2 linked regions of the Elephas maximus indicus genome follow. The protein of the gene in region 1 interacts with the protein of each later gene in a biochemical or structural test. Links are inferred from orthologs where the notes say so. Each region holds a gene or a part of one and is shown on either strand. Other genes may lie near its edges. The genes, in order: FYB1 and SKAP1.

Evidence for each region.
Region 2: the proteins of FYB1 (region 1) and SKAP1 form a complex in vitro, tested with the Homo sapiens proteins (2 studies listed by BioGRID and IntAct, with this or other methods). The link is inferred for Elephas maximus indicus from reciprocal best matches to the Homo sapiens genes FYB1 and SKAP1.

Annotation. Positions count from the first base shown.
Region 1 is NC_064820.1:45,056,657-45,068,148, reverse strand, and holds the start of FYB1 (FYN-binding protein 1), read left to right. Parts: upstream 1-6,026; 5' UTR 6,027-6,055; coding exon 6,056-6,089; intron 6,090-7,089; exon of another isoform or gene 7,090-7,272; intron 7,273-7,783; coding exon 7,784-7,971; intron 7,972-11,492. UniProt on the Homo sapiens protein: Acts as an adapter protein of the FYN and LCP2 signaling cascades in T-cells. May play a role in linking T-cell signaling to remodeling of the actin cytoskeleton. Modulates the expression of IL2. Involved in platelet activation.
Region 2 is NC_064837.1:45,074,372-45,086,039, forward strand, and holds the start of SKAP1 (src kinase-associated phosphoprotein 1), read left to right. Parts: upstream 1-6,577; 5' UTR 6,578-6,744; coding exon 6,745-6,793; intron 6,794-11,668. UniProt on the Homo sapiens protein: Positively regulates T-cell receptor signaling by enhancing the MAP kinase pathway. Required for optimal conjugation between T-cells and antigen-presenting cells by promoting the clustering of integrin ITGAL on the surface of T-cells.

The sequences.
Region 1 (11,492 bases):
ACAACTCAAGGAATAGTTTAAACAGAGAAGAAAATATTCTTTGATGGTTATGAAAGGAGGCAGGGAGGGAGGGTAGGAGACGGATTTTCACTAATTAGATAGTAGATAAGAACTATTTTAGGTGAAGGGAAAGACAATACACAATACAGGCGAGGTCAGCACAACTGGACTAAACCAGAAGCAAAGAAGTTTCCCGATTAAACTGAATGCTTCGAAGACCAGTGTAGCAGGGGCGGGGGTTTGGGGACCATGGTTTCAGGGGACATCTAAGTCAATTGGCATAATAAAATCTATTAAGAAAACATTCTCCGTCCCTCTTTGAAGAGTGGCATCTGGGGTCTTAAATGCTAGCAAGCAGCCATCTAAGATGCATCAATTGGTCTCAACCCACCTGGATCAAAGAAGAATGAAGAACAACGAGGACACAAGGTAATTACGAGCCCAAGAGACAGAAAGGGCCACATGAGCCAGAGACTACATCAGCCTGAGACCAGAAGAACTAGAAGGTGCCTGGCTACAACTGATGACTACCCTGACAGGGAACACAACAGAGAACCCCTGAGTGAGCAGGAGAGCAGTGGAATGCAGACCCCAAATTCTTGTAAAAAGCCCAGACTTAATGGTCTCACTGAGGCTAGAAGGACCCTGGTGGTCATGGCCCCCAAACCTTCTGTTGGCCCAGGACAGAAACCATCCCAAAGCCAACTCTTCAGATAGGGATTGAACTGGACAATTGGTTGGAGAGGACTGCTGGTGAGAAGTGAGCTTCTTGGATCAGGTGGACACTTGAGACTACCTGTTTGCAGGGGAGATGAGAGGGCAGAGGGGATTAGAAGCTGGCAAAATGGACACGAAAATAGAGAGAGTAGAGGGAGGGAGCGGGTTGTCTCAGGGGGAGAACAATTGGGAGTATGTAGTAAGGCGTATATAATTTTTTGTGTGAGAGGCTGACTTGATTTGTAAACTTTCACTTAAAGCACAATAAAAATTAAAAAAAAAAAAAGATTTTGTAACTATTTCTAACCATCTAACCATCGATGGCAGTGAGTATGTTAATTTCAGGGCCTCCAAAGAGTTCAGTCTCATTCAACCCCTGCTGAAAATTTGTTTCTGCTCCCGATGTACTGAATCAGAATCTACATTTTAACACAATTCCCAGGTGATTCTTATGTACATATGACCTGGGGAGTGTGTTGAAATGATGAGAGTCACCTGGGAACCTTGTTAAAATGTAGATTCTGATTCAGGATATCTAGGGTGGAAATGCAAATTCTCAGCATAGACTCAAACTGGAAAGAACAGTTTGGACACCCTGGTTAATGTTAAGGAGCCCTAGTGGCCGAATGGGTAAGTGCTAGGCTGCTAACTGAAAGGTCTGCAGTTCAAACCCACTATTGGCTCTGCAGGAGAAAAGACCTGGCAATCTACTCCTGTAGAGTTTACAGCCTAGGAAACCCTACAGGACAGTTCTGCTGTGTCCTATAGGGCCACTGTGAGTTGAAGTCAACCCTTCAGCACACAACAACAACAATATTAATTTTAGAGCCCCTGGATAGTGGAAACAGTTAATACGCTTGGCTGCCAACTGGAAGTTTGGAGGTTCAAGTCCATCCAGACAGTGACATCACCAGGGGGTGCAGGGGGTGTAGGGAGTATGGACCACACCAGGTGACACTGTCAGAGGGGTGACACCAAAAGTACTGTCTATAAAATTTTTGTGCAGTGTTTTAGAAGAAATTTAACATTTTTTATAAAAATATCCCTGTAGTAAGTTACAAAACTAAAAACATTTTTCATAAGCTCAGCTTATATGTATCAATATACCTACAAGGCTAAAACTCTAGGCTAATGTACTTTTTGAAACTTTCAATGTACTCTGGTCAGAGCTGTCGTTATTACTCAATTACAAGGAAACTTCAAATCACGTGGTTTCCTCAGATTACACAGTATAAGCACACGCTGTTGTTTTCGTTGCTGCAGGTGTTTTTATAGTTTCTGATTTCCTCAAATTTTCTGGTGTTTTAGCTACAATATTGAGGTATATATTGTTTGTGAAACTGTATCGATAACTTTTTTTGAGAATGAAGCCGTATTAAAAGAAAAAAGGTGAAAAGTCAAAAAAGGGCTTCTGGTGTCATTAACAATGTTGTAAATAATGTATTTCAACGTAGAAAGATTTTATAAAACAATTCTCTCGTTAGTATTCACATAATCTAAGAAATATTACATTTATGCTATTTACAACTTTATCACATATTATTCTATGGTTAAAACTGATAATAAACATTGCTAAGGATTCCATATCATCTGGTGCAGGACAGGTCCATCAGGGGGTGACACCAACCTGAGTGACGCCACTGCACCCATAGATACCTCAGAAGAAAGCCCAGGAGATCTACTTCTGAAAAATTAGCCATTGAAAACCCTATAGAATACACCTCTACTCTGTCACACATGGAGTCACCATGAGTCAGAATACACTCGATGGCAACTAGTTTTTGTTCTATTTATGTTAATTTTAACCACACTACCTGTTAAAGTCCTGAGAGATGGAATACTGCCAATGTTTTTGGGTCATGCTAAGTAGCGTTTCTTTAATTTTTATCACTGCTCTCTCTCTATTTGTAAATTGGCTCAGAAAAATGAAATTAGCCATGCAGTGCCAATAGGCCTCACAGCCTCCACCTAGCTGTTTCACCTTCAGTGAGTATACAGGGACCAACATCAAAAACCAAACCCGCTGCCGGCGAGTCGATTCCTACTCATAGAGACCCTACAGGACAGAGTAGAACTGCCCCGTAGGATTTCCAAGGAGGCCTGGTGGATTTGAACTGCCAACACTTTGGTTAGCAGTCAGAGCTCTTAACCACTGCACCACCAGGGCTCCTCCTACACAGAAAGACTCGTTTTAATCTTGCCCAGACAAAAACAGCTTTCTAGGATGTAATCTGTGTCAAGAGAATGTATGCCTAAATATGCTATTTAGAGAAGCATAAGCACTTTTATATTCTCTGAGCTACTTCTCCCTTCCACTTGCGGGAATAATTGCAGTGCCCTGGTTGGGAAGATATAACTTTATCTCTTTTTTAGATATTGACTGTCACCTTTGCTGTATTTCCTGTTTTATCTTCTTGCTCAGGAGCTTATGTACTTAACTGACTTCACAGGAAATACACTCACGTGTGTGATACGTGAAAGATATACTCAAGAGGAAAGTCATTATGCTCCAAAAACTAAAACTAAAAATTTACTGTTAGATTATTAGTTGGTTCGGGGTAAATGAGCTTCAACCCTTACCTGCTTTTTCTTAGTCAAAATTCTTAAATAGATGTTTTTGAAAAACTGCTGAATTTATTTCAATAACAACTAAAAATTATCTTAACCTTCATTTAGAAATAATCACAAATTAAATGGAATTCAAATTGAAATTTAAACATGTCTTACCCAGAAACGTTTCCAGTTGTTTAGCAAAAAATTGCTAGATTTCTCTTTGTAGTGTAATTTTTTGCCTAACTTACTGGCGGAGAGAGAAAACCACAGAATGATTCAGCATAAGCAATTGTTATGTGGTGCATGATGAAACTACGCTGATAAACTTAGCACTAGTCAGTGGCAGAGTGTCAGGACCTGCTTCTACCTGCAAAGCTTGCCTGGTGCTCTGTTCACCACTTGCCTCTTTCCTGTACTTTGGAATCAACTGGTGAGCTTTCAAATGTCTGGGTCTCAAACCCAGAGATTCTGATTTAATGGTCAGGGGTTGTTATGGATTAAATTGTGCTCCCCAAAACTACGTGTCAACTTGGTTAAGCCATGATTCCCAGTATTGTGTGGCTGTCCTCCATTTTGTGATTGATGTAATTTTCCTATGTGTTGTAAACCCTAATCTCTGCCTATGGCTAATGAGGCAAGATTGGGTTATGTTAAAGACAATTAAGGTGGAATGTAACACCTTTACTCAGGTCACAGCCCTGAGTCAATGTAAAGGGAGTTTCCCTGGGGTGTGGCCTGTATCACCTTTTATCTTACAAGAGATAAAAGGAAAGAGAAGTGAGCAGAGAATGGGGGACCTCATACCACCAAGAAAGCAGTGCCAGGAGCAAAGTTCGTCCTTTGGACCAGGGGTTCCTGTTCAGAGAAGCTCCTAGTCCAGGGGAAGATTGATAACAAGGACCTTCCTCCAGAGCCAACAGAGATAAAAAGGCTTCCCCTGGTATTGGTGCCCTGAATTTGAACTCTTAGCCTCCTACACTGTGAGAGAATAAACTTCTGTTTGTTGACTCCATCCACTTGTGGTATGTCTGTTTTAGCAGCGCTAGGGTCGCTATGAGTCGTAATCACCTCGATGGCACTGGGTTAGATGACTAAGACAGGTGAAGCATAGGAATTTAGATTTTTTAAAGCTTTTTTCTGGGATGATTTTAATTTACAGCCAAAGTTGAGAACCACTGACTTAGACCTCACACTGTACCTGCACTGTGATAATCTTCGTTCCAACAGAATAAGAAACTTTCCATTTAAGATGAGGAATGCTTCCATTTCAAGGCCTTCTAAGGTCTTCTTCTGGCAAATGTGTTGTATCTAAAAGCATGCCTAGTTCTCATACCTCGGTCTCGCCTTCATGTTTCCTCCCACTGATTCAACAAGGCTGGTGGTGCAGTGGTTAAGAGCTCAGCTGCTAACCAATAGGTCGGCAGTTCAAATCCACTAGCTGCTTCTTGAAAACTCAGTGGAGCAGTTCTATTCTGTCCTATAAGGTTGCCATGAGTTGGAATCGACTCAACAGCAATGGGTTTATATGGGACGTTTATTATGTGCCAGAATTGTGCAATTTCAGATTCCTGAGTACCCACCTAGCTTCTGTTAGCACCCCTAAGACCCACCTCTCTTATAATCTGAAGGTTTGTGGACAATTCCAGGGACTTTCCTATCTCTGGCGCTTGGCCCCTGTCCTGGCTTTCTGCCTTGTTGAAGCGATGATGCTATCCGTATTTCTAATCACATCTTGATTTTGAAAAAAAATTTAATTTTAAGGAATAAATAGTATGCAACCTCTTTTTTAAGAAGGGATTTTGTATGGTCATGGTAGTAATTAGAATTAGCACAGCATCAAGCATAGACCCTATAGTACTTAAAACAAGATCTAGAAAGTTGCAGCCCAAAATTAAGTCAACAGTTGTCTTTCCTTTGAAATGAGAAATAAAGATGATCTTCTGCTCTTGAAACTGCTTTATTATCAGGCTATAAGTTCAAAATACAGGAGATAAATTCATGTACCAAAATGTGTTCGAAGGGGTAATGTGGTGTAGGAATATTTAGGATGAAATATGCCTTTCACTCAAGCATATCTAGTTCAATATGGTGAGAGACTGAAGCATCTGATGCTAAAAAAGTTAGCACATGAAGCTGGACTGACATTTTTTAATGAAGGGAATGGCATCCTATGATAAGCTTATGAATATTTTGACCATTTAAATATTGGCAAGATGGGTTTAAATACATTTGGAATTGTCACTGACTAAAATTATCATGTTGCTTTTGTTCTTTTTGAGATTATAACTATGTTTAGAAACATGCATTACATATTTTGAATAGAAAACTAAAAAAACTGGGCAAAGTATAAAACAAAAATAAACATGTAACAATACCTTCATCCAAGTCAACCACTGTTAGCATTTGGGTGTGGGTCTTTAAACAAATAAAAATAAATAAATATATATATATATACACATACACAAATACAGATTTTATATAAAACAGACTAACAATGTGCACAGAATTTAATAATTTAATATGTGGGCACTTCTTAAAAAATTCTATGTCAATCTTTCGGACTTCAAAGCTTTACCTATACCTGCTCTCATATATTGAAGTATAATAACTAGACAGACCTGGCCAGTTATACAAATTCTCTAAGATCAGGGATAGCATGCAAATACAGCCTTACATATCAGTGTGTGGAAGCTGGACAGACCACACAGTTCAAAAAAGGAAGTACACTCTGCGGGACTAACTTGCACATTCATTGTCCAAGTTACAGCATCTTCTGGGCCACTGTATGCCAGGCACATCAACTCTTCCCAAGAGAAATGGTAAGTAATAGATTTTATGACTCTTCCTGGTCTCCTGACAAACTTAACTAATATTCTGTAACTAAAGCAGAGAGGGTTAAGGGTGCTTTAAGGCCAGTTGCTCCAAGCTTTTAGGATTCTTGCGTCTTTGCTTTTCCGTGTACTAACAAAGCTGCTGAGTCTTTATTACACGAGTTGAAAGACAAGAGACTGTGGCTTCAGGAGTTCCTTTTTCTAATTCTAGCCTGCAAAAGAAAGGAAGAGAGCTATGCCTTACAGAAAGAAAAGTTGCATTCTTTGTCTCTGCCTCTTAAGTTAGCTGGGTGCCAAAACCAACAATACAGTCAAGTTTGGTATTATGAGCACTTTGGATTCCAGAAGACGACCTCAGTGGTATATGCTGGGCAATATTGCTGATGATGAGCACCATTTTGGTAACAGTGAATATTAGAGGAGTTCTTTTGCTTTTTTTTTTTTTTTAATGTATGTTATAGCTTTAATTAAAAGAAGGGAAACAAAGCCCAAACAGTCCAAACCTTAGGGACAGGCTGTGTTCCCAAAGTTAATTGAAAGTCATAGTTTGGAGCATACTTAAAATACTGACTGAGTTCCCGGCTGTATCATGAAAACAAAGTATTATAGCTGAACTATAGCATTAATATTCTTCTACACAGTTCCTGATTATTTCTCTGGGAAAATTGGCTCCTAAAATTATATTTATAGCTATACTTGTATTTATATGTATGGTGTTGATTCTGCTCCCAGGGTGGAGAAGGGAGCCAATTCTATGTCCCACACTCTCTTTCAATGCTCCAGCCCGTAGAAGAGTGGAGATTTGTTATCCCTTCTCTTGTTACAGAGCCCTGGTGGAGCAGTGGTTAAGAGCTCGGCTGCTAACCAAAATGATCAGCATTTGAATCTACCAGCTGCTCCTTGGAAACCCTATGAGGCAGTTCTACTCTGTCCTATAAGGTCTAGAGTCTGAACCGACTCTACGGCAATGGGTCGGTCTCCTGTCACACAGAGGATTACTTCCTTTCAGTATCCACAAGTCAGCAGACAGGGACTGAGACAATGACTCCTACAAGCACGCCACTTTGGGAGTGGGAAGTGTTGCAGATATTTGAATAGGGAGGACGAAGCGTTCACGGGATGTGTTTGTAGTCTGGAAGCTCTCTGAACCAGGCTGGAGAAAGTGGAAGAGGTGAGACGGTGTAACTCTGCCATGAGAGAGGGAGGGGGGAGGAAAAAAGACGGATGGAATCAGAGATGCTGAAGTTGTGTTGTTTTTGGCCGCCATGGAGTTGCCCCAGCTAATTGCAACCCCATGCACACCTGAACAAAATGCTGCCCGTCCTAGTTTTGGATTGGACAGCTGGGATCCATAGGGTTTTCATTAGTAGATCACCAGGCCTTCTTAGTTTGTCTTAGTGCAGAAGCTCCACTGAACCTTTCAGCATTGTAAAGCCAAAAAAAACCCCACTACCATCAAGTAGATTCCAACTCGTAGTGACCGTATAGGACAGAGTAGAACTGCCCCCATAGGGTTTTCAATGTTGTAAATCTTTAGGAAAGCGGGCTGCCACATCTTTTTCTCCTGGAGCCCCCCGGGTGGTTTCGAATCTTTGACTTTCCAGTTAGTGGTGGAGAGCTTTAACCACTGCACCACCAGGGCTCCTTCAGCACCATAGCAACATGTAAACCTCCACCAACAGGTGAGTGGGGGCTCAGCATGAGGTGCATTGTCCAGGAATCAAACCCTGGCGGGAGGCAAGAGTTCTACCACCAAATCGCCACTGCCTCTGCTGAAGCCCCAGGGAGAGAAATGCCTGGTGGTGGAGGAAATGGTAGACCTGATACTATCTGCTGCCCTGCCGGCAGAGGACGGAAGTCACAGGTTGAGGTAAGACTTATAAATCCCCTCTGGTGTTTCCAAACTAGACTTTAGGTCCAGGATTCTCAGAAAACACTTTGACCTTAATTGCTAATATCCTCTTCAAAAACAAATGAGGGCACTGTGGTTTACAGAGAGCTGTTTGGATTTTCTTAAGGGAAACACAATGATAATAACACAGAAAAAAAAGAAAGCTTAACTGGATAGTGCATATTTTATGTAATACATAGGCAATGGTTTCTTAAAAGATTAGTGTTTTCTTATGAGTAACGCCTATTATTTTTCATTCCTTAAACATATAAAACTTTTTTTTTCATATAGATAGGTAAAAATGAAATAATATGTATTTTCTATAGCCCTATCACCTAAGGGATGATCACTGCTAAGCTGAATTTCATCATTTTAAAAACATATTTTATAAATGCAATTTTCTGTAGCTGCTAATATACATTTTATGAACTGCTTTTTAAATTAACATATCTTGAGTAATTTCTGAGTTATAGCATAAATATATGTATACATATATAATCATTTTTAATGACTACATAGTATTCCATAATTTATTTAATCAGTTCCATATAGTTGGACATTTAGATTGTCATAAGTATCCTTTTATATACATTGTCTGATTTTCCATTGATAGAATGGCCGAGAGAATAGTTAGGTGAAAAAATACATATATTAAGACTCTAACACAAGTTATGCTCTGGTTTTTTTTTTTTTTTTTTTATGCTCTGGTTAAACATTTTAAGTTTGCTTACTGGATAGTGGCATAGTACATGAGTTTCTCATTTGCAATTGAGATACGCACATGCCTCTCTTTGTAGCCTGTCAAGGTGACACAAAGGAAGGATTTTCCCCTTAATTTCTTTTTCCCCAACATCATCCCTGACATTCTATGACAGGTTGTGAAAGGCACATAATGTATTAAGAAAAAAAACTTTCTACTTTTTCTCTTCGAAAGACATTACGGCACAGTCCAAAGGTCGTATTCGGGCTTCTTACGTACTAGCTTTGTTTACTAGCCGTGCGTTTTTTTCACAAGTCACATAAACTCTGAGTTTATTCCCTCGTCCAAACATAATGGTAATGATGACGTGGAGTTGGGGGAGGATGACTGGAATGATGATCATAACTTTCACACAGTGTTGTTGTGGAGAATAAACAAGATTGCATCCATAGAACACCTGTTATACGGCAGGCACTTGGCAGATACTGGATGAATGTTGATTTTCTACCTTCCCACCCTAAATACGGCATCTCAGTGGTTAAGAGTTCAGTCACTAACCAAGAGGTCAGCAGTTTGAATCCACTAGCCGGTCCTTGGAAACCCTATGGGGCAGTTCTACTCTGTCTTATATTGTCACTATGAGTTGAAATCAACTCAGCAGCAACGGGTTTGGTTTTGGGTTTTTTACCCTAAATATATAATTTCCTACGGAGGCATAGAAGCTCCCAGTGAACACAGGAGGAGAATGATAATTGCAGTTAATATTTGTGAACCCTGACATACACGTTTATTCTGTTGTTAGGTGCTGTTGAGTCAATTCCAACTCATAACGACCCTATGCAACAGAGTGAAACACTGCCGGGTCATGCACCATCCTCCCAATCGTTACTGTTTGAGACCACTGTTGGAGCCACTGTGTCAAAACATCTTATTGAGGGTCTTCCTCTTTTTGAATGACTTTCTACCGAATATAATGTCCTTTTCCAGGGACTGGCACCACCGTCCTGATAGCATGTCCAAAGCACTTGAGACAAAGTCTCACCATACCTACTTCTAAGGAGAATTCTGGCTGTATTTCCTTCCAAGGCAGATTTGTTCATTCTTCTGGCAGTCCGCAGTATATTCAATATTCTTCACCAACACTGTAATTCAAATTCATCAATTCTTCTTTGGTCTTCCTTATCCATAGTCCAGCTTTTGCATGCAGATGAGGTGATTTAAAATACCATTGCTTGGGTCAGGCACATCAGGATCCTCAAAATGACATCTTTGCTTTTTAACAGTTGAAAGAGGTCTTTTGCAACAGATTTGCCCACTGCAATGCGTCATTTGATTTCTTGTCTCCTTCTTCCATGGGCATCGATTGTGGATCCAAATAAAATTAAATCCTTGACAACTTCAAAGTTTGTTTATCATGATGTTGCTTTTTGGTCCAGTTGTGAAGATTTTTCTTTATGTTGAAGTGTAATCTATACTGAATGCTGTAGTCTTTGATCTTCATCAGTAATGCTTCAAGTCCTTTTCGCTTTGAGCAAGCAAGGTTGTGCCCTTTGTACAACATAGGCTGTTAATGAGTCTTCCTCCGATCTTCCTGTATTTTTCTTCATTTAGTCCAGCTCCTTGGATTATTTCCTCAGCATACAGATTGACTATGCTGTTGGTTTACGAAAAACCAAAATCTTAAGTAGACACGCATTATCTCATTGTTGTTATTAGGTGACGTCGAGTCAGTTCCAACTCACAGCAACCCCATGCACAACACAACAAAACACTGCCCAGTCCTGAGCCATCTTTGCAATTGCTGTTATGCTTGAGCTCATTGTTGCAGCCACTGTGTCAATCCACCTCATTGAGGGTCTTCCTCTTTTCCGCTGACCCTGTATTTTGCCAAACATGATGTCCTTCTCCAGGGACTGATCCCTCCTGGCAACATGTCCAAAGCATGTAAGACACAGTCTCACCATCCTTGCTTCTAAGAAGCGTTCTGGTTGTACTTCTTCCAAGACAGATTTGTTCATTCTTTTGGCAGTCCATGGTATATTCAATATACTTTGCCAATATCACAATTCAAAGGCATCAATTCTTCTTTGTCTTCCTTATTCATTGTTCAGCTTTCATATGCATATGATGCGATTGAAAATACCATGGCTTGGGTTAGGTGCACCTTAGTCTTCAAGGTGATATCTTTGCTTTTCAAAGATTAAATTCTCATTAAATTCCCACAATAATCCTTACAAATAGTTACTACAATTATCCCTATTTTATAACAGAATAAACTGAATCTTGGAAAGGGTTAAGTAACTTGCTCAGTCACACAGCTAGCAAATACTAGGACTGGAATTTGAGCCCAATTCTATCTACTTTCAGAGTTTGAGCTTTTCTACATCATACTGCATTGGAGAAAAGGTAGATGTCGAGGAAGACAAATAGCGGTAAAAGAAAAACTCAGGACTGGCCTTTGGAGGAAACTCTGGTCGTGTAGTGGTTGAGAGCTTCATCTGCTAACCAAAAGGTCAGCAGTTTGAATCCACCAGGCCCTCCTTGGAAACTCTATGAGGCAGTTCTACTCTGTCCTATAGGGTCGCTGTTAGTAGGAATTGAGTCGAAGGCAATGCGTTTGGTTTTGGTTTGGTCTTTAGATGTGCGAGGGGCCTTTTCTCAGGCTGGTGACCATCTTGGTCGCTTTGGGAATCAGCTGTCCTAAGTCTTCTGCTACTTCCACTACCAATTTTCCTACTTTCAGAATGCTTACTTTGTAGAAAAGTTGCAGAAGCCACTGGCATGGGAGATTGAAGGGGTT
Region 2 (11,668 bases), on another chromosome or scaffold:
TTTGTGAGTATTGGTTGATCTGGTCAGATTACATCTCAGTTCCTCTTAGTGGTGGCATTCCTCCAGAGCACGTGTGCAGTGCAGGCAGGGTTTTCTACCAGATTCTAAACAAGTGCCCCTCTTACCTCGAATTCCCCCATCCGGAATTCTAAGGCCTTTAGTAAAACAAAGGAGAAGAAAGGGTAGCAAAAAAGAAGGGCTGAGGCCACTTAAATATTTATCTTTTGAAATAACAGATAAAATGAAACCAAAGAAGTATAATTCTACCTAAGAAAAATAGTTTTAAAACTTGCTGTCTTTCGGAAACCCTCGTGGTATAGTGGTTAAGTGCTATAGTTGCTAACCAAAGGGTCAGCAATTTGAATCTACCAGGCACTCCTTGGAAACTCTATGGGACAGTTCTACTCTGTCCTATCCCTCTATTTTTTCCTTTTAATCCCCTTATCTCCCCCCCTCACCACGGTGCAAAGGTTAAGTGCTCCGAAAAGGTTGGCAGTTCGAACCCACCTTGCAGGTCTGCCTCTGTGGGAGAAAGATCTGGCAATCTGCTTTCTAAATGAGTACAGCCAAGAAAACCCTGTAGGGGCAGTTCTGCAGTCACATGGTGTCACTAAGAGTTGGAATCAGCTCCAGGACACTCAACAACATCCCCCCCCCCGCAAAGAAATGGTTGCCCCTTTTATACAGCTTTCAAAACTGATCATGTCTGCAAATATCTAGCCTACAAAATTGGCCTAAGCCCTTCTTGCCTCCCCAGGCAGATTAAACAGGTAAACTGCCTCCACGTCTCAGAGAGCAGGAGGCAAAGGCATCACCTGGCTGCAGCTAACATACTCTGAGTCCCTGCCCCCACCCCTCAACTCAAATTCCCGTGAGAACCAATCAAAGACAGAGAATGTCAGAGTCAGCAACCTCTTGGTCCTTAGGGCCTCCAAAAGGCTCAGCAGTGTCCATAGGGGATACGTAATGTGGTCTAAGAGAAGGGCAAAGGAGATACAAAAAAAGAGGGTGGGGGCAATCAGGGAATATAGGGGAAATAATGTGAAAGAAAGATAAAAAACAAAGAAAGAAATGTTACATGGGGGAGGACTAACAATGATTCCTTCACAGATCCACTCAGGATCCCTAGGCTGTCATTATCCATCTCAGCTACTGAGTTCTACAGGAGCTTTGGGCCAGCACTGGAGACCTGGATTCCAATGCCGGCACAGTTCCCTGGTGAGCTGGGAGGCCCTGGGCAGAGTGCTGGGTAGGTCTGTTTGTTATCTTGAATTTGATCACCTGGAAGATTTTTTTGAGTTTTAATCATTCCTTGTTCTGTTCCAAGGCTCTGTGTCATTGAGAACCTGTTTATGGGAAAGGTCCCTGATATGATAGGAAAAAAAAAAGAACCTGCTTATTTTGTTGTACGTATTAGTGCAGAGAATCTAGGAGTGTGAGCTAGAAGCGGACACCATCAGAAGTGCATTTGTGTGTGTGTGTTGTGTTAATTAGCTAACTCTCCTAAGTTGAAAGATTAGCTAATTAGTAAGAGGAGGCTCTGGCAAGCTGTGAAAACCCTGCATTTTAAAACCACCAAAGTGATGGGCCCAAGTTAGCATTTCATGCCTTAGTGGTGGCATGGGGTTTGGTTTCTGGGGCCCTGCAAAGCACACAGTGAGCCTGGCTCTTGGCATCGACAGGACGAATCATCTCTTCTTCCACAGCCCTTAATGAAGTGTGCAGCTCTTATCCTCATTAGGCCCCAGCATTGTCAATAAAAGAGTCAATAAACCCGGCTGATGGGGTTGGGACCGAGAGGCTGAGATGCAGCGGCCACACATCCACAGGGCAGACATCAGCTCCGCCGCGTGTCATGACCCGGTGTCCCGGGAGCAATAACCAACTCGGAACAAAGCCCAAGAGCCTGCCCTCTGAAGTCTCCTCTCCAGACCCATTCTACCCAGGGTGGAACAGTGCCAGCCGGCACCTGCTTTGCTTGCATTTGTTCCCACTCCATGCCATTCTGGGTGCCAGATGCTTTTGTTTCTTCCTGATTGAGCCCTCTGGACACCCCATGGATGCATATTTAGTGAATTTCCACCTGGCATGAGGACATATAGACAGCCTCCCCCAGCAGCCCAGAGGCCAGCAGGGGCCCTATTTTCTGTCTGCTGACAGTGTGTGAGGGGCTCCAGTGACAAGAGGGTATATTTTCTGCATGTTGTGCTGCTGGACTCCATTCTTGGCTGCTCTGCATCTCTTTAGATACCCTTATCTTATCTAATTACAAGGAATTTCAGATTAATTTCTTAGCCTCTGCTCCAAAGGACCTCTTATCAGTGAGGGCCTTGCACTTTAACCTTGTCATTCTTTTGTTGTTTGCCTTTAAGGGGGGGGCACCTAAGATCTTGCTGGAATTGGGGTTGGGGGGGAGGGGAGAAAGAGGGAGGAGACAGACCTGGGATTTGTGTATTCTGCTCCATTCCCCCCGCCTGTGTGCAGAGACAGCTGGCTGCTTACTTCCATGACAGCCACGTGGTACCCAGCCACACAGAACAGGACCTGGGCAGGGACTCATCTGCTGCCAACCTCTTCGGATCCCTTTGATATTTCTGACAGAGCAGTAAAGGACTCTTGACTATGATGGTTTGCCTTGCCTCTCTCCACCTCCTCTAAGACTCCTTGATGTGGTTTCCATGGCTACCCCCAATCAGATTTGGCTTCCTTCGAAATTGGATTTCAAAGAAGGACAAGGTTTCAAAGGAATTTGTCCATTTAACAGAATGTCATTAGGAGTGAGGCTGACTGCTGAACTAGGGTCCTCAGATGATTAAGAAGGGGCTGTGCTCATGTGTGGAGGCAGGTTTCTGTCTGCAATGAGGAACCTTGATGCAACATGACAATACCGTACTGGAATCTGCCAGTCAGCCACCACATGCTATCCAACCCTGTGCCTCTCTCTACCCCTACCTCTCTAAAACCCAGAGATTCCTGTGGGGAGGAATGGATGTAGAATACCTATGCAGTGAGTTTCTGCTCTTTCCCTTGGTATAAGTAAGCTCTGACAGGCAGTGAGGCCTTTGAGGATGTGCAATTACCTGGGTTTATTGCTCCTTATCAAAAAACTCATTAGCTTGTAGCCTATATTAGCAGGTGACACAATATCTTTGAAGAAGGGGGGTTGTTGAATTTTTCTTTCACTCCTGAGAGGGGAGGCAAGGCAAAGTGCTGAGGTGCCATATAGGAGGGGTTTTGTTTCCTTAAAGGAACCATACCATGGTGGCACAGTGGTTAAAGCACTTGGTGGCTGACCAGAAAGGCCAGTGATTTGAAACGACCAGCTGCTCTGAGAGAGAAAGATGTGGCAGTGTGCTTCTGTAGAGATTAAAACCAAAAAAGCCAAACCCGTTGCCATCAAGTCAACTCTGACTCATGGCAACCCTACAGGACAGAGTAGACCTGCCCCATAGAGTTTCCAAGGAGCGCTGGGTGGATTCGAACTGCTGACCTCTCTGGTAAGCAGCCATAGCACTTAACCATTATGCTACCAGGGTTTCCCTGTAAAGATTATAGCCTTGGAAACACTATGGAGCAGTTTTACTCTGTCCTACAGGGTCACTGGAAACCCTGGTGGCGTAGTGGTTAAGTGCTACAGCTGCTAAAAAAAAAGGTTGGCAGTTTGAATCTAGCAGGTGCTCCTTGGGAACTCTATGGGGCAGTTAGTTCTACTCTGTCCTGTAGGGTCCATATAGGGCTGTTATGAAAGGAACTCACTTGACAGCAACGGGTTTTTTTTGGTGTAGGGTCACTATGAGTCAGAATTGACTCAACAGCAGTCGGTTTGGTTTTTGTTTCTTTTGCTGTTTTTTTTTTTTTAATAAATTATTTTTTAACACAGTTTTAGATTTACAAAAAAATTGTGATGATAGTACAGAGAGATCCCATATATCCTCCTTTGCTTTTTAACACATGGTAAAAGTACGAAAAAATGATTCAAGAACAGCTACAATTTTATAGAAGGATAGGCAATGAGGTTGGCGAAACTGCCTGGGGGCTACCTGGTAGTTTCTCAGGGGCCTAGAGGGGGCAGCTTGCCCATTACTACACCTTCCCAGGGCACGAAGGAGGACCAGCAGGAGCCAGATTCCCTAGAGACTCCAGCCAGCCTTCTATCCCCACCCGACAACTTGTTGTGGGTGGGTCATGTGACTCTGAAACCAAGGCACCATTCCTCTTCAAATCACAGGAAGCGAAAGTGTAAAGATGGCTCAAAGTCACTGCACCCCCTCAAGGATCAGGCCTCCAACCTTGAGGCTGTATCTCTAGAGGGGAAACTAGGCCAGAAAAGTAGGCACTGCTACCACCGTTTCTTCTGGCTGTTTCTGTCACCACCTCCCTGCTTTAAAAAGAACACATTACCATCGTGACCCTATCGGACAGAGTAGAACTGCTCCATAGGTTTTCTAAGGCTGTAATCTTTATGGAAGCTTTCTTCTATGGAGCGGCTGGTGGGCTCAAACCACCAAGCTTTCAATAAGCAGCTGAACACCTTAACCACTGCACCACCAGGGTTCTTCCCCTTCTTGCTTTAGTTCACCATTATTTCCCTCTGATGCCACCGTAAAAACCACTTCACTCATCTTCCCGATGTCCTCTCTCTTACCACTTCCAATCCTTCCCACATAGTCTGTGGGTTGAGTCTGAGAATAGAAAACTCCATCTTACAAAGAAGGAAAACGGTAGAGGTGAAGTGAGATATGTGAGGTCATATGCTACCACAGAACTCTGATTAGGTCACCTTCTACCTCAAAAATTGTCAATGGCTCCCCAATGCCCATTTGATTGAATTAAAAATCATTCAAGGCCTTTCACAATAGATTCAATTTATTTTGACACCATAGTATCCCTACGCCATCCAGTAAAAGAGGGCTACTAGTAAGCGACTCCACGGCATTGGGTTTTTGGTAGTTGTTCCTTAAGTAGTAGAGGGCTTTTCCATCTGTTTATTCTGGTCCTTCCACTTGGAAAGCGCTTCTGACCCTTCAACGTCTGGCGTGTTTTTCAGAGCCTATTTCAAATGCTACATGCACCACTAAACACACAGACACTTCCCTCCTTTTCTTATACCCATCTCCCTCCCACAGCATTTTAAACCTTTCTCACAGCACTTGGCCTACTGTAGTTTTTTTAAAAGTAAACTCTTTATTGTGAGGTAACTGTAGATTCACACGCATTTGTAAGAAATAATACAGAGATCCTGTTCACCCTTTACCCAGAGCCCCCCAATGGTAACATCTTGTAATACAGCATGGTATCACAACCAGGATACTGATGCCTATGTACTTCGAGTAAGGGGGAGAGAAACTCTCCCCTATGATCTTGGCCTAGCCTCTGTTCATTCTCCTGTTTGTCAGCTCTTAGAGGGAAAGGGCTCTGTACGCCTCTCTGTCAGCTTCCCTACCCAGATACCTGTTGTGGATTGAATTGTGTCCCCCCAAAGTATGTGTCAACTTGGTTAGGCCATGATTTTCAGTATTGTCTGATTGTCCATTTTGTCATTTGATGAGATTTTCCTATGTGCTGTAAACCCTATCAATATGATGTTAATAAGATGGATTATTAGTGTCAGTTATATTGATGAGATCTACAAGACTAGATAGGGTCTTAAGCCAATGTCTTTTGCAATATAAAAGAGATTATCCAGTAGAGACATGGGGACCTCATACCACCAAGAAAGCAGTGCTGGGAGCAGAGCCTGTCCTTTGGACCTGAAGTTCCTGTGCTAAGACGCTCCCAGACCAAGGGAAGACTGATGTATCACAAGGACCTTCCTCCACAGCTGACAGAGACAGAAAACCTTTCCCTAGAGCCAGAGCCCTGAATTCAGACTTCTAGCCTACTGGGCTCTGAGAGAGTAAACTTCTCTTTGTTAAAGCCATCCACTTGTGGTATTTCTGTTACAGCAGCACTAGATAACTAAGTCAATACCCCTTCCTTTCTCCATATCCTTTCAACCTTAGAGGGGGACGCTTTGTCTTCCTGAGTCCATTGCTGCTGCTTCCGCTCCAACTCTCCCAAATGTTGGTGGCTTCATATAATTTACCGGGACTTAAAATCATTCCCTTTAAACATCCAGGTTTACCTGAGATAGAGAACGTTCTGCCTTAGTTTTCTGAGCAACGACGGTGTGGACGGGATCAGGAATTGAGTGGCGCTTCTTGGCTTGGACTAACCTCTTTCTCGGGTTCCGCCTGTTCACACCCTCTTTCAGGCATCTCTGTGGCGTCCAAGCCTTTAGGCCAACTGTTCAGTGCTTAGGTCGGAAAGTCTCAAAGAGACTTGGTTCCTTTGAGTCTTGTGAAGTCCCTCGTTTTGGCAACCGGCCTGTGGGGAAACCTGTCGGCCTCCACGGTGCGGCCCTCCCGCCCGTCCATCCTCGCCACCAGCGGACCTCAGAGCCCCGGTGACGGTGCCGCGCGCCCCCCGCGCGGGCACGCCACGCCCCCACCTCCGGGCTGCGCCCCCGGCCGCGAGCTCCACGGGGGGCGCCCCCCGGCCCGCCGCGCGCGCCACTTCCTGAGCGCGCCCCGGGATCACGGCCCCGCCCTGCGGCTCGGCCCGGCTGCTGCGGCGGGCGACGACGGCAGAGGTACAGGTGCCTCCGCGGCGGTCTCCCCTCACCTTCCAGCCCGCCGGTCTTTGGAACAGGCCTTCACGCCCCTGTCCTGTCTCACACGCCGGCCTTCCTACCGTCCCCGCCAAATGCAGGCCACCGTCACTCTCCCTGAGGAGGTCTTTTGGCTCCTGGAAGGTAACGCCCTGGCCCAGCCCCCAGCTCCCTCCCTCCACCCCCCGGGAAGTCCCTCAAGTGCTGAGCTGAAGGGAGGAAAGGAGACACCAGGGGCTCCCAAGGCCAGGCTTTCTCTTTAGCTCCTTCACTCAAGGCTTCTAGAATCTTCAAAACTAGGTTTTCATCCACTCACTTCAGGGTCCCTTTCTCTCTCTCCAATTCCACATTTTCTTTTTCCTCAAGGCGTCTTTACTACACATAACCTCCCCAACTTCTAAACTCCTCCAGGCCAGGTTGTTGGCCCCTTACCTGTCATTTCCCCCTTAGGACCACGCCCTACATCCGCAGGCTTTCTCCCTTTTCATCACCACCCCCCGCCTGCCCACTTCCATCACCTTTCACAGAAGATCCTCACCTTCCTGCTTAGAGGCCCCTGAGGTTCTGTGAAGGACTCCCAGGGTGAGCCTTTGTTGGTCGAGGCCTGGTGGTTCATCTTAGTTTTTTTGTCAGTGCTGAAACGCCAGGCCTCACTTTATCAGCCTGCAGATTTCTAGGGGGTCTCAATGCTGAACCCAAGTCTAGCTAGAGTTGTCCCATTGTGCTATGTTTACTTTGAAACTATAGTGTCTAAGCAGTCTTTTTAGAAGGTTGAGGCCATACTAACACTCAACACGTACTTCTAACGCTCTAAAGAGACTTTTCCTTAATGGGCAGTATCATCTGCTCAGGTCACACTTTTCCTGGTGAAAGGAAGTTTTACTTGTTTTCCTGTAGCTGACCTTCTAGGAAAGACAGAGATTTGGAGTCTGCAGTTAAATAGGGTCTCAGGAGGAAACCACTTAGAATTAAGCTTTTTGGCATCTAAGTGACATTTTGGCACATACGTAACAGATGGCCTTCTTTGGGCAGGTCATGCTCTTGGCAAGCAGTAGTTTTTCGGTTTCTCTCAATTTAATTGGTTTTACCTCTCCATTACTTTGTTATTTTGATATAAATGCCTCCTAATCAAATATTTGGCAAGTTCTTTTGGTCTCTGCTTGTAGCGCCGTTTCCGCTCTGGATTTCGTCTATGTGAAAACCGTCAACTAGATATTTCTTCTGAGGTGAGGTTTCCAGAATCCATTTTAATTATGACCTGAGTGAGGCTAAAGTTTAGGAATAGAAAACTATTTGCAAGGTAAAAGAGAGTTATCTGGGTTTCTAAGAAGAAGCAATCCAGCCTTTTCCTCTAGTGTTGAGTTGGCTCTTGGTTCAATACTAGGCTTGTGACAAGAGGCTGTAAGTGTCTTTGGTTTCCAGGGTAGAAGAAACTGTGGCGAGAAGTTTAATTCTGCTCTTGCATTTAAAGATATAAAGTGATCCCTTTTTTGGTGTCTGTCATTTGATGAAACCTATCTTACAAGCTTGTTAAACTATACTTCAGTTTTGTGTGTAGCCTTGGTAGAAAATTCCTTTTTATTTTCAGAAGCTTGCGGTGAAACTCCTTCAGCATTTTTGATACGCAGTCCTGTATTGTTCAAAACTGACACTTTGGTAAACAACTCATTTCTGCACCTGCCACCTTCCTTTAACTTAGATTATATTCTTGTTAGCTGACTGTTTTTAATTGAAGTCTTCAGATCTCCTTCTAAAGTAGAACCTTTGTTTGCTGACAAGCAGAGCAGGCGATGAATGGAGATTAATTGCATGTCACATACTTCTGTATCAAACTTGCTGTGTCTTAACAATCTCTGTTGGTATTCAGGTCTTTAGGATACAAGGAGGAGTCTGAGGTTAAATTTTAAAGAGCATTGTATTTCTTTAAGGTTTTTTTTTTTTTTTTTAACTTTGCAATTAGAGTCTGAATCTCAGGTAGAGGGAAAAAAATGTAAAGTAGGATCCAGCCAGTGATCCTCTGGAAAATATTTGAAGACGGTTTTCAAGATTCATTTAGTAATACCAACTTATTGGCTGTAGGTTTAATTTTGTATGGAAAACAGTCTCTAGTGTAGACCAGCAGAATTACTCATTGTGTTACAAATAATTTGTGGATATTAGAAACCCAAAATGGCCATCAATTTATATCTATTGCTGTTTACTCATCTCCCCTTCTATTTAAGGTTAACCCTTGACAATTAGAAAATATGTAGGTCCCGATCTCTCTACAGTCACACAATGGAAGGGAGTCACAGGATGTAAGAGCAGCTTTACTGCTGCCACGTGGCCGTGGGGTGGAGTTTCCACGATGAATTACTACTTTCATAAACCAGGGCATAAGCCTTTGCACAGTGATTTAATGCTGGCCATCACAGCCATAACTTAAGCATTTATTTATTTATAACCACATGGGCATAAATGACAGGGGTGTTTTTTGACATAATGTCTGCTTTTAAAAATAAAATATGCAAAGCATTGTGAAAGGTTTATACCACACTTTTGCATAGTGAAGAAGGGAACAGAAATTCTGAAGGTTTAAAATTAATTTTTTGTAGCGATAAAATTTTAAACATTGGAAAATGTTTAATTTGAGAAACCCCATCTCTAGGAATCCATGTCACTGAAATTAAAGTGCATAAGGTACGTGCACAAAGATCCATCTTAAATGTCCTTGAGTTGGGAAAGAATGAGGGGATAGTTGAATGAATTAAGGGACATCCATATTACAGAATACTTTGCAGCCATTAAAAAGGATATGATACATCTGTATATATGAACTCCGAAAATGTCCATGGCATGTTTTTAAGACTGAAAAAAGCAAGATGCATATTAGTATATATAATACCCTATTTTTGTTTGAAAACAAACAAAACCAAAAAATCACCAAGTATATATGTTTGTGTAAGTGGAGGAAGAAGTAGGAAAATTATACACCAAGCTGTTAACATTGGTTTCCTTGGGAGGGGAGTGAGAAAGTGTTAAAGAGGAGATTATTAATTTTTATTTTATGTATCTTTGTGTTGCTTGAACTGTGACAGTGAGTATACATTACTTTTGTAATCGTGGAAAAAAAAACCCTGTAAGGTTATTTAAAAGAAAAAGAAGGAAAGACAAATAGAAGGTCAGAGAGGCAAGGGTGCTGAAGAGCTGCTAACCATGGTTGTGATTATGTTTTTCTCTTATTAGCCCTAGGAGTATGGAGGGTGGGGAATTAAAATAAAGAAATTGTTCCTTGGAATTTTGGCAAATGTCAAAGCAATGAGAGGCTTCTAGAGTAACTCAGGAAACAGGTTCCTCAGATAGACTTTGTCAGGCTCTCACAGAAATAGTAATTAGTCCCATATCAGCAAATAAGTACCTTATAGATAAATAAAATGAAAGGCGTCTTCTGCCTTATTGAAAGAGGAGGAAATATTCAGGTCTGTTGTCAAATCATTGGGCTGCAGATGCAATAGTTATCTTTTTGTTTTGTTTTGTGATAACACTGAAAAACAACAGGAGCGCGGAGCGCTGGCAGTTTGCATAATCTTTGTTCCACAGATATAAACGTAATCAGTTTCTTCCTTGTCTTTCTAGCCCCCTTTTTGAAGGCAGAAGCAAAAGAGGCAAGTACAAAGGAGGTGGAATAATTTTTTTTTTTTTTTGGTTCACAGTTTGTTGATTATGATGAAGTGGGGCCTGCTGACTTTACCCTGATAGCTGATAGGTCCAAACTACCTGCACGATACCTAAATCCTGCTTAGAATATGGATTTAAGCCAAAAAATATCCACAACCCAGTAGCTGTGTTAACACTGATTCAGATATGCCTCTGTTTACTTACTATTTAAACTTCCTTGGAAAGAAATAGTCATTAATCATTTCCTTCCAGATCGTTCTCCAGATTTGTATTGGTTGTCTCAGCCGACCGTAGAGTCCTTTCAATATAGTAAAACTTCAACTATGTGGAACTCACTAGAGTGAGTTGCTCTGGATAGCTGAGGATATTCTCCTTAAGCACTCTCTTTATTTTATACATTTGTGATCAAATTTTTTTCCTCTAAAAGGCATTAGGAACTTTCCTAACTTCTTCAGCCCATCAGCCTGTATTCAAATGGACCTCCTTTGAACATGTTTTAATTCAGAGCTGTTATAGTGAATATCTGCTACTGTGCTTTACAGAGATAATACTGAGATGTTTCTGTCGTATTACCCCTGGATTGCTTTTGAAGTGTCTATGTCTATTTTTTATTTTTGTCATATTTCCTGCTGTTAGGCCGAGGGCTCTCAGTTTGCACTGTTGTCAGTGAGCCTGTGTCCCTAATACTACAGGAACACTAGATAACCAAGTTTGTTGGAATTAAGATATGTGTAAAGGAAGGTATGAGGGGCTCTCTTGATAGACAAAGTACCCAAGCCCTTACGCATGGACTTTGTGATGTGTATTTTGGCAGCTCAGGGTCTATTTTGGTTAAATTTTTATAGTGAGGCATCTTCTAGATAGGTGAGGTTACTAGTCAATTTAGTTCTGAAAGGTGAAATATGATTATGCTTTTGTTTCTATTTTTATGTTAATTTTTTCTGATTATAAAAGTAATAATGTTCATTGAAGAAAATTAAAAAACACAATAATAGACAATCACATAGTCAACTACTGTTAACTTTCCGAGTATTTTTTTCAGTTTTTATTATAATTTCATACTTTGAAAGTTGGCACATTGTGTATACAGTTTTGTATACTGATTCTTCCACTTACTATTTTCCATTTGCTATTGTCTCTTGAGCATTTTCTTACACCATTATATTATTTTTATTTTATTCAAATTATTTAGAAGTTATACATCCTGTATTTATTCCGCTGGTGGTTTTGTAACCGAACTCGGGTTCTTGTCCTGTCCTATTAGGTGATCGAAATAAGACGGACACCACACCACCAGTTGCAAGGGAAACAAAGTGGATATTTATCGTTTGTGCAAACAAGGAGCAACACGGGGCCTAGCAG